Linked DNA regions of Macaca fascicularis. The protein of the gene in region 2 interacts with the protein of the main gene of each other region in a biochemical or structural test. Links are inferred from orthologs where the notes say so. Each region holds a gene or a part of one and is shown on either strand. Other genes may lie near its edges.

Region 1 (3,651 bases), on a different chromosome or scaffold from region 2:
AGGAACAGGTCCGCCATTCTACATGTTCTGCTGGTTAATAAATGGACAAGAAAATTCAGGTTTAGAAGGACATTGATAAAATTATAATGTCAATAATTTAAATTCACATTATAAGAGTAAATAACAGGTTTCTTCAATGTCATCTGTATGACGTTCTTATTTATGAGCAATTAAAAGTCAATTTACATAAGAATTTTTAAAATTTGTTTACTTAAGTTCAAAATATCTCCAAAATTAATATCATCATTGATTTTATAATAATGTTTTATAAAAAGTACATTGAATTTCACTATTAAAATTTAAAAGTTATATTTATAAGAGGTTTTAAAAATGTAAAGGAAAAAGGAGCTTAATAAGAAAGGATAGTCAAGAGATACAATCTATTAAAGTGCTATATGTAAACAACTTTTACTATCCATTGAATAAATATTATAAGCCAATCGAGACATTGTGCTAACATTGTAATCAACAACTCAAGATAGTTATGATGGGGACAAAATTTGAGAGAAAGAGCTGCATCTTGGTCTTTATCATTGAGCATACACACACACAAACACACACACACACACACATTCTGACAACCATGGAAGATAAATCTAAATATTAACAGCAAAGAATATTTAAAACTAAAAATAAAAGTGGAAAGCATTGATCTCCAAAATGTAAAATAATATTCATTAACTGATTGAAATATGGGAAGCATGTTTATGCTTTAGAGAATGGAAAAGTAAATAAGTAAAAAAAGAAAATAAGTAAAAAAGTAAATAATTACAATAATGTGGATTATATTAAAATAAAAGTAGTTTCCTTGATTTTTCAATCGTCAGTCACTCAAAGTAATATTAGTATTTTCCAAGCATGGAGTGCATGATGTGAGCAATTCTAAACAGGGTAGTTGTTATTTAACTTTTAGAGACCTTTTCCCCAGATACCCAAGGCATCTGAGTTTGTTTTCTTTTTCTAATTTTAGTTTAGTTTTATTCTTTACTTTTTACCGTCTCCTAACCTTACTTACACATGCCTCAATTATTACAGTTCTGGTGTCTGAGGTATTAAAGTAAAGCTAAATACCTATAATCATTTTCTGAAATTATTTAGACATACTCTGAAAGTATGTCTATATGTCTAAATCTATTACATAAAAAGGAATTAATGTCTTACTTTGAGTAGATGAACGATTGTTTTATAAACACTTCTTTAGTGTTAATACAGGATTTCATCATTGAACAATGTAAAGTTAAGGCTTGGGGTGGGAAGATAGTGAGCAGATATTTCAGTGGTAAATATATACACAGAGATACACTGCCAATATGCATAACTGTAAGCAATGGAAATTTTACTTTGGGAGGTCAAATTGTTACTTTAAAAACTGTATATAGCATGTAAAAACAAATATCATTCAAAACACAGAGTTACTGATTCAGTCTCTATTTACACTCCATTAACATTCTTTTAAAAATAAAATATGACAGCCTTATTTTACTCCAGAATGTGTCTCATGGTTCCATTTTCTCCCTTCCCCCTCCTTAGTGGCCTCTCCTTGCTTATCCTCAAGCAACAGGGCATCACCTCTCTACAGTTCCAGTCCCTGAAGGAAATCAGCGCAGGAAACATCTATATTACTGACAATAGCAACTTGTGTTATTATCATACCATTAACTGGACAACACTCTTCAGCACAATCAACCAAAGAATAGTTATCCGGGACAATAGAAAAGCTGAAAACTGTAGTAAGTACATTACTCAGACATTTAAAACATAGAAACTTAATTTTTTTCCCATTCTTTTTTGGACCAAAAAATTAAAAATAACATCAGGTCAGAATTGTTGCTTTGTTATCCCAACCCTTAAAAAGGAAGGTAGTTATTACAATTGCCAATATGATATAAAATAATCAGAGTAAGTGACTTTCTACAACATATGGCATATTTATTTGCAAGATGTCTTACCTAATCTTAAGAACGCTCCTGTGGAGATTTGAATTCAGTATGTCTAAATGGAACCTGGGTATTTAAATCATTGGCATCCCAGGTAATTTCAAGGATCCAGTCAATGTGTGGAGATCCACCCTATTGAATTCTCTGTTTGTTGTTTGGTTTCAGTGAGTTTCATAACAGAATAACAGAGTTTTGCCATTTAGAGGTGGTGAGAAAAATGAAGTTGTATTTTTCTAACATGTGTAAAAACTACTATTCAAGAAGTACATTGTTCAAGATGTTTTGTTGTTCAGAAAGAAAGTTTACTTTATTAATGCATTTATGTAGACATGTATTTATCATTTTTTCATCTGTTTTGCTACTTATTGATTCATTTAATAATTTCTCATTTACTCTGAAGCAAATAATGCTTTTGTAGGCACATGACTATGCCATTCCTATCTAATGCACTGATATTCCAATGATTTATACTTCATTCTTCCCTGTTTTTCTACTGAATACTACTCTTTCCTACATCCTATGAGTGCCACTATTATGAGTACAATCATCAGACTTATTATGGTAAATACTGAATAAAAAGACTCCGCACTCAAATGATCTGTTTGCAAATGAATATTCTTGTTGTGGGCACAAAATCAATCCGTTCTAAAAGGCAGAACCCTAGAAAATTCTGCTCTCAGAGTATTTTCTTACTTCTTTGATCTCTCCATTAAAACAATCATAAGGGTATACATGAGTAATGATTGAGTTTGTGTGTGTGTGTGTGTGTGTGTGTGTGTGAATAAATAGAAGACTTTTTTAAAAGTTATAAACTCTTAAGAGGCCAACATAATTTGTTTATTGAGTTTTCAGTGAATTAATTGATTTATTAAGATCCCATCTTGTTCCAGAAATAATTTAAGACAGCTCAGTCTACTAATCTTCATAAAATATAATTTATGATTAATTCTCTTATATTTTAGCTCTTTTCGATCCTTAAAAATATTTCGAAATGAAGGAGATCTATCCCAATATGAGATTCCTGCTAAGAGTGAACTTAAGTTCTTACTCATTCTTCTGTTCCACATAGAATCACGAAATATAAAATCTAATTGTGTATCAAAATATGCATGTTATATTGAATGATATTCATTATTTCATTTGGCCTATGTTATTTCCTTGGTTTTACACATTACTGATTTCTAAAAGAAAATTTGCTTTGCTTTTTCCCTAATGCTTAAGCTTATCCCACATCACAATATGTGTGTGTATATGCCCCAAAGTAGATGATTCATGGCAATAAGATAGATTCTTCTTCAATACCAATTGATAAATGTTTCCCTAAATCAGGGTTATACTCTTGTTTCCTTCGACATCCTTAAAAAAATTAGTACCTCTATCTTTCAAAAATTTAACTATGAATTCAAAATAATGTAAAGAAATATATAAAAGAATCAGAAAAAAACATTCTTCCTCTTTGATGCACTTAATCAGTTTACAAATCCTACAAAAATTCATATTTCATATATCTTTCTATACTTGAAAAGCAAATGGGAAGAAGAAAATGCAAAAAATAAATGTAGGGAAACAAGATGAGAAAAAGGGATATTTCAGTAAATTATATAATGTTATTTTACACTTCTTTAAAACTTCTAAACATTTCAAATGACCAAAAGGGAGTGAACAATAATAATAATGATAATAACTAAAATATAAAATGTGTTTAAACTTTCAG
Region 2 (3,751 bases):
ACCAGGGCTGGAGGGGAAAAGGAACAACTCCATTTCAAACTGTCATCTTTACCACTTGCTGCTTTGACTATGCCCACACTTCCATGCTTCTAAACTAACAAACTGGACAATGTAGGGTCTAATACTACACAGATCTTTTCCCAACCCTCAGCCCCCTAAAGCAGCAAATCCTTACTTGTCTGGAAGAGCAGACACCAGGAACAAAAGGCTCAATGACTATTAGACAGATTAAAGAATAGACAACTGTTTATTTAAAAGCTCCCTAAAGAATTAGAACATTTGAGGCTATACACTGTTCCGTTGAAATGCAGTTATATATTACCCAGATCCGCAAGCACTTGCCAACAGACCTGTCCAAGTCACTCACTTCCTACGAGTTCTGTTTTCTTTTTTCTCCCCTTTTTAAATTCCAGATCCATGTAAGAATAACATGCCAGGTCTGTTTGGAGGAGACATTCCTAATATTTTGAAAAATCTCATTCAGGCCGGGTGCGGTGGCTCACGCCTGTAATTCCAGCACTTTGGGAGGCCGAGGCAGGCGGATCTCGAGGTCAGGAGTTTAAGACCAATCTGGCCAACATAGTGAAACCCCGTCTCTACTAAAAATACAAAACTCGGCCGGGCACGGTGGCTCATGCTTGTAATTCCAGCACTTTGGGAGGCCGAGGCGGGCGGATCACAAGGTCAGGAGATCGAGACCATCCCGGCTAACATGGTGAAACCCCGTCTCTACTAAAAATACAAAACATTCGCCAGACGTCGTGGCGGGCACCTGTAGTCCCAGCTACTTGAGAGGCTGAGGCAGGAGGATGGCTTGAACCCAGAAGGCGGAGCTTGTAGTGAGCCGAGATTGCGCCACGGCACTCCAGCCTGGGCAAGAGAGCGAGACTCTGTTTCAAAAAAAAAAATTAGGCCGGGCGCAGTGGCTCAAGCCTGTAATCCCAGCACTTTGGGAGGCCGAGACGGGCGAATCACGAGGTCAGGAGATGGAGACCATCCTGGCTAACACGGTGAAACCCCGTCTCTACTAAAAAATACAAAAAACTAGCAGGGCGAAGTGGCGGGCGCCTGTAGTCCCAGCTACTTGGGAGGCTGAGGCAGGAGAATGGCGTGAACCCGGGAGGCGGAGCTTGCAGTGAGCTGAGATCCGGCCACTGCACTCCAGCCTGGGCGACAGAGCATGACTCCGTCTCAAAAAAAAAAAAAAAAAAAAAAAAAAAAAAAAAAAAAAAAAAATTAGCCAGGCATAGTGGCATGCCGATAGTCCCAGCTACTTGGGAGGTTGAGGCAGGAGAATCGCTTGAACCTAGGAGGCGGAGGTTGTGGTGAGCCGAGATCGTGCCACTGCACTCCAGCCTGGGCTGTTAACAGAGTGAGACTCCGTCTCAAAAAAAGAGAAAAAAAAAGAAAGAAAAAAAAATCTCATTCAAATAGCCTCAATAGCTTGAATCGTTTTTTAAATGTCTGAGACAGTGACCATAATTGAACAACCATGGAAAAGAATAGACAATGGGTCTTAAGTGTGAGTGGTATATAGAGTGATTATATAAAATAGCAGGATCATTATCTGAAAACAAGTCACACTACTGTTTGACAACAAAATTAAGGCTTACAAGTGGTTAGCAATAGTTACAAAATAATAGAAGCAACATAGTGATTAAAAGTAGGGATTCTGTCTCCACCACCTACTAGCTGTGAGGTTAAGCAATCTACTTAACCTCTCCGAAACTCGGTTTACTCATCTTTACAATGGGGATAATAGTAGCCATCTGAGAGGGCTGTCGTCAGAACTAAGCAAATGTTAGCTATTAGTAGTAATATTACCCTGATCTTTCAAAGGATCTCATTAACTCACTAATTCTCCTTAGTTTCAAATCTTGTCATTTACTAGCATGTTGCTTCTGGGCCTCGGTTTCCTCATCCATAAAACGGGTACCAGTAAAGTGACCTGACTGTTAAGGTTGCAGTGAAGGATTAAATAACGAGATGCGGCTCCCTTCCTTTCCATCTCCCAAAGCGAATATCGCAGAGGAAGGAAATACTTCTAGTGGCTGCAGATACAGTCAGTTTTTCCATTTCTGGCACGTGAGGGGTGGGAGAAAAAGAAGACACAAAGGGGCACATAAAAGGGTCAGGGGTCCTTCGTTAAGACCCCAAATGCACGCAAGTGGCACAGTGACCCAGAACGACTAGACCACTGGGGGCCCGGCCCCGCGCAACTCCCATCTCGTGTCCCAAGGAGCCTCCCCAAGTGAGCAGGGTTATTTCGGAATCACCATGAGGCAATTCTCATGAGGCAATGGGTCAGGAATGCGGCGCTGAGCCGGGCCGCTGGCGCCCGTGGTTCCCTAGGCGGCTCTACCTGCCCCAGGCCTGACGGGCATCCCCCGGGCTGCCGCAGCCGGAACTCAGGGAGGCAGGAAATGAATGGGGACCCAAGGGGTGGGGGCGCGGTGGGGCCGGCCCCCGGGCCGAGGAGGGACAGGGGACGAGGAGGGAACTGGCCCCCAATCCCGATCCGGGGCGGGAGCCCGAAGCCCGGCCGGGGCGCCCCCTTCCGGACGGGGCTGACCGAATGCGGCGGGGGCCGGGCCGAGGCCCGGGCCGGGCCCCTCGGGGCTCCTCACCTCCGCGATGTCATGTTCCTCCCGCCCTCCGGCTCCGCGACGGACCCGCTCCTTGCTCAAGCTCCACTAGGCTCGGTCACATCGGGCTGGCCCGAGGGAGGCCCGCTCGGGACCGGACGCGGGGCAGAGCCAGCCGGCCGCGCACAGACCCCCCTCCAGGCCTGGGGATCCCGGAGACTGTGCAGCCGCCCCCCGGCCCGGCTCGCTCCTCCTCCGCCCCCGCCCTTCGCCGCCGTCGCCCCCGTGATGTCACCGCTAGCGACGCCCGCCGCCACTTCCTGCTTCCCGTTAGCCGAGGACGGAGCCACGGCCGGGAATGGCAGCGCGGGGGTTCCGCGGAGGCGCTAAGCGCAGCGTCCAAAGCATCCTTGCTTCCTCCCGGAAATCGCGGCCGCCGGGTGTGAGCTGCGCGCTCGGCGGCTACGCCACTCCACCGACCGGGCGCGTCCGGGCCCACTGCCACATCGATTTCATTCATTTCGTTCCACAAATCGCCACTCGACTCATTAGCTGTGGAACCTTGGGGAATTACCTACTGTCTCCGAGCCTCAGTTTCCTCCATTAGGCTGGGCGCGGTGGCTCACGCCCGTAACCCCAACAATTTAGGAGGCTGCAGCAAGAGTGTCGCTTAAGCCTAGGAGCTAGAGGCCAGCCTGGGCAAAAAAGACCTCATCTCTACAAAAAATGCAAAACCCTAGCCAGGCGTGGAGGCTGCGGCGGGAGGATAACTTAAGCCCGGGAAGTCGGTGCTGCAGTGAGTCGTGATCACGCCACTGCCCTCCAGCCTGGGCGACAGCAAGACACTGCCTAAAAAAACTAGTAATAGACCGGGCGCGGTGGCTCACGCCCGTAATCCCAGCACTTTGGGAGGCCGAGGCGGGCGGATCACGAGGTCAAGAGATCGAGACCATCCTGGCCAACATGGTCTCCACTAAAAATTCAAAAATGAGCTGGACGTGGTGGCGTTCGCCTGTAATCTCAGCTACTTGGGAGGCTGAGGCAGGAGAATCGCTTGAACCTGGGAGGCAGAGGTTGCGGTGAGCCGAGGTCGCACCACTGCGCTCCAGCCTGCAATAGAGCCAAACTCCGTCTCGATAATAATAATAACAAATACTACTTTGGGG
Region 3 (3,651 bases), on a different chromosome or scaffold from region 2:
AACGTGGTTTCTGAGAAACCTAGCCCTGCTTATCACCGGCTGACGCTGTCAGACCTTGAAGGCAGAGGGCTCCTCAGCATCTTGTAACAAGACAGGTCCTGCTCTGAACCCGGAACGAGAGTGCGCCAGCTGTCCTTGACATTTCCAAGGCAGTTGTCATCTTTTTAGATGTAATCTGTTGTCGGGCTGGTGAAAGGCACAGCATTTGTAGATCAAAATGCCTTGGCCCTGCCCTTGTGACCCATGGGGTACCCCGGCAGCCCCGGACATGAGCTCAGGTAGTAATTAGGAAAAACAAAACCGTTTCCAGTCATGAGAGAGGGAGACCTTCTCCCCTGTCATTCTACTTCTGAACTTCCTCCTGGAATCTTCTGGGGGAAAAAAATGATGGTGGAAAAACGGGTCATGGACACCTGCACGAAATTCACATCAGCAGAGACTTACCGGGCACCCACTATGTGCCGCGCACTGGACAGCCAGACAGTCACGGCCCAGCTGGCAGAGTGCCTGCGATTCCAGTGCCAGGTGCTAGCCCTGGCCAGGGAGGGAGTTGCATGCTATCAACATGGATTTCCCAGACAGAAGTAAATGAGAGCACGCAGGGCTCAGGACAGGAGCTGTGTGCTAAGAGCACAGCCGCAGAGTCCAACACACTTTGGTTCTTTGCCAGCTGGACAACTTTGTCCACTTTATTTAACCTCCCTTGGTCTCAGTGTCTTCAGCTGTAAAGTGGAATAGATAATCCTTCCCAAGTAGGTTGTGGTAAGAGTGGATGGGTGATCTGTGTGGTTGTGTGCTGCTTGTAAGCCCTGAGAACTGAAATGGGCCATTACCGTGCACCAGTTAGGAGGTGTGCCGGTTGGTGGTAGCTTTATTCTGTTCTATCACGCAGGGGCCAGTCACAGAGGAAGCAAAGTTTATCATTCATGATGGGCGATTTTGAGGTAGCAGTGGCAGGTTGATAGGATTAGCACATGGGAGGTATCCAGGTTTGCTAAGTGGTTAATGATTGCGAACATTTATTGAAGACAGATGCTCAATATGTACCAGGCTCTTTTCTAAACGCTTTACCTGGATAATCTCATTCCATTCTCACAGCAACCCTGGCAGTAGACACTATTATCATCCCCTCTTTACAGATGGAGAAACTGAGACCCAGAGAGGTTAAGTGAGTTGCTCAAAATCCCTGAGCTAGAACCAGGATTCAAACCCAGACTTTCTGACTCCAGAATGTTTCCCGCTTTGCCAACTGGCGATCTCATTCTTATACTGCCCCTGTTCTCTGTCTCCCTGTCTCCAGCTTTGCCCTGAGTGAAGCTGAAATTATTGCCATCCTATTTATTCAGTATGAATCAGACTTCTTCTGTGCCAGCCTTGGTTTCTGAATCATAACAAATGCCCAGTGAATATTTGTGGAATAAATGCGTACATTAATGAATGTCCCCACACACATCACCATCAGCACCTACTCAGGCCCCCAAACAGACACGGTCCTGGGTGGTGGGTCCTGCGATGGAAAACAAACATGGGCTGAGGAAGCACAAAGAAGGAACCTGGACCCTGCCAGGAGAGGGGAGGGCCAGGAAGGGTCTTAGGATGAGCCGTGCTTCATCTGAAATTTACAGGGTGGACTGGGATTTGTTACAAGGAGAAGCAGGACAGACACCCTTGGCAGAGGGAGGAACATGAGAAATGGGCGAAGACTGCAGGTGGTTCAGGCTGGGAGGAGGCAGGAGCGGGAGGAGGTGACACTGAGGCGGGGCTGTGAGGGAACCACACTGTGTGAGTCAGAAAGACCCTTCAGGCAGGGTGAGGAGGAGGGTGGATGGGAAGGGGCAAGGCTGGAGGCAAGTAACGTTGGCAAGAGATGAGGGGAACAGGACTTATGGCTGAGCCAGTGTGGGCCGAGAGGACACAGAAGCATCCAGACTTGGTATTTAGTCTGAGTGAGTGGGCCAGGGCCTCTAGAATGACCTTCTCATGACTTTCTCTTTGGGTATTTTAAATCCAGGACACAAATGATATCACATATGCAGACCTGAACCTGCCCAAGGGGAAGAAGCCCGCTCCCCGGGCCGCGGAGCCCAACAACCACACAGAGTATGCCAGCATTCAGACCAGCCCGCAGCCCGCATCGGAGGACACCCTCACCTACGCTGACCTGGACATGGTCCACCTCAACCGAACCCCCAAGCAGCCGGCCCCCAAGCCCGAGCCATCCTTCTCAGAGTATGCCAGCGTCCAGGTCCCGAGGAAGTGAATGGGACCGTGGTTTGCTCTAGCACCCATCTCCACGTGCTTTCTTGTCCCACAGGGAGCCGCCGTGATGAGCACAGCCAACCCAGTTCCCGGAGGGCTGGGGCGGTGCAGGCTCTGGGACCCAGGGGCCAGGGTGGCTCTTCTCTCCCCACCCCTTCTTGGCTCTCCAGCACTTCCTGGGCAGCCACGGCCCCCTCCCCCCACATTGCCACACACCTGGAGGCTGATGGTGCCAAACCAGCCAGGGAACCGACCTGGGAAGTGGCCAGAACTGCCTGGGGTCCAAGAACTCTTGTGCCTCCGTCCATCACCACGTGGGTCTCGAAGACCCTTGACTGCCTCCCCGATGCTCCGAAGCCTGAGCTTCCAGGGTGGTCCCCTGACCACCACCACCACCACCCCCCACCCAACTGGGGCTTAAGGGGGGAAGATTTCCCCTTTAGATCAAACTGCCCCTTCCATGGAAAAGCTGGAAAAAAATCTCTGGAACCCATATCCAGACTTGGTGAGGTTGCTGCCAACAGTCCTGGCCTCCCCCATCCCTAGGCTAAAGAGCCATGAGTCCTGGAGGAGGAGAGGACCCCTCCCAAAGGACTGGAGACAAAACCCTCCGCTTCCTTGGGTCTCTCCAAGACTCCCTGGGGCCCAACTGCGTTGCTCCACCCAGACCCATCTCTCCCTTCTAGACCTGAGCTTGCCCCTCCAGCTAGCACTAAGCAACATCTCGCTGTGGACGCCTGTAAATTACTGAGAAATGTGAAACGTGCAATCTTGAAACTGAGGTGTTAGAAAACTTGATCTGTGGTGTTTTGTTTTGTTTTTTTCTTAAAACAACAGCAACGTGATCTTGGCTCTCTGTCATGTGTTGAAGTCCATGGTTGGGTCTTGTGAAGTCTGAGGTTTAACAGTTTGTTGTCCTGGAGGGATTTTCTTACAGCAAAGACTGAGTTCCTCCAAGTCCCAGAACCCCAAGAACGGGCAAGAAGGATCAGGTCAGCTGCTCCCTGGAGACACTTAGCCTTCTAACTGGGACTGACTTGGCCAAGTTCTCAGCCGAGCCACGCGGCTGGTACTGCAGCCTTCTGTGACCCCGCCGTGGTAAGTCCAGCCTGCTGAGGGCTGCCTCTTGACAGTGCAGTCTTGTCGAGACCTAACGCCTCAGTCTGCTCATCCGTAAAGTGGGGATAGTGAGGATGACACCCCTCCCCACCACCTCTCATAAGCACTTTAGGAACACATAGTAAAGGGTAGGGAGAGTGGCTCTGGCCGTGTGTCCTACCCCTTTAGTGTCCACCCCCATCCCGGCTTTCCGAGCTGATCCTTGAAGAAGAAATCTTCCATTTCTGTGCTCAGACCCTACTGGGATCAAACTGGAATAAATTGAAGACAGCC

Evidence for each region.
Region 1: the proteins of PTPN11 (region 2) and ERBB4 form a complex in vitro, tested with the Homo sapiens proteins (2 studies listed by BioGRID, with this or other methods). The link is inferred for Macaca fascicularis from reciprocal best matches to the Homo sapiens genes PTPN11 and ERBB4.
Region 3: the proteins of PTPN11 (region 2) and SIRPA form a complex in vitro, tested with the Homo sapiens proteins (2 studies listed by BioGRID). The link is inferred for Macaca fascicularis from reciprocal best matches to the Homo sapiens genes PTPN11 and SIRPA.

Annotation. Positions count from the first base shown.
Region 1 is NC_088386.1:107,518,731-107,522,381, reverse strand, and holds part of ERBB4 (receptor tyrosine-protein kinase erbB-4), read left to right. Parts: intron 1-1,530; coding exon 1,531-1,730; intron 1,731-3,651. UniProt on the Homo sapiens protein: Tyrosine-protein kinase that plays an essential role as cell surface receptor for neuregulins and EGF family members and regulates development of the heart, the central nervous system and the mammary gland, gene transcription, cell proliferation, differentiation, migration and apoptosis.
Region 2 is NC_088385.1:119,340,679-119,344,429, reverse strand, and holds the start of PTPN11 (tyrosine-protein phosphatase non-receptor type 11), read right to left. Parts: upstream 2,849-3,751; 5' UTR 2,642-2,848; coding exon 2,628-2,641; intron 1-2,627. UniProt on the Homo sapiens protein: Acts downstream of various receptor and cytoplasmic protein tyrosine kinases to participate in the signal transduction from the cell surface to the nucleus. Positively regulates MAPK signal transduction pathway. Dephosphorylates GAB1, ARHGAP35 and EGFR.
Region 3 is NC_088384.1:85,367,207-85,370,857, reverse strand, and holds part of SIRPA (tyrosine-protein phosphatase non-receptor type substrate 1), read left to right. Parts: intron 1-2,011; coding exon 2,012-2,260; 3' UTR 2,261-3,651. UniProt on the Homo sapiens protein: Immunoglobulin-like cell surface receptor for CD47. Acts as docking protein and induces translocation of PTPN6, PTPN11 and other binding partners from the cytosol to the plasma membrane.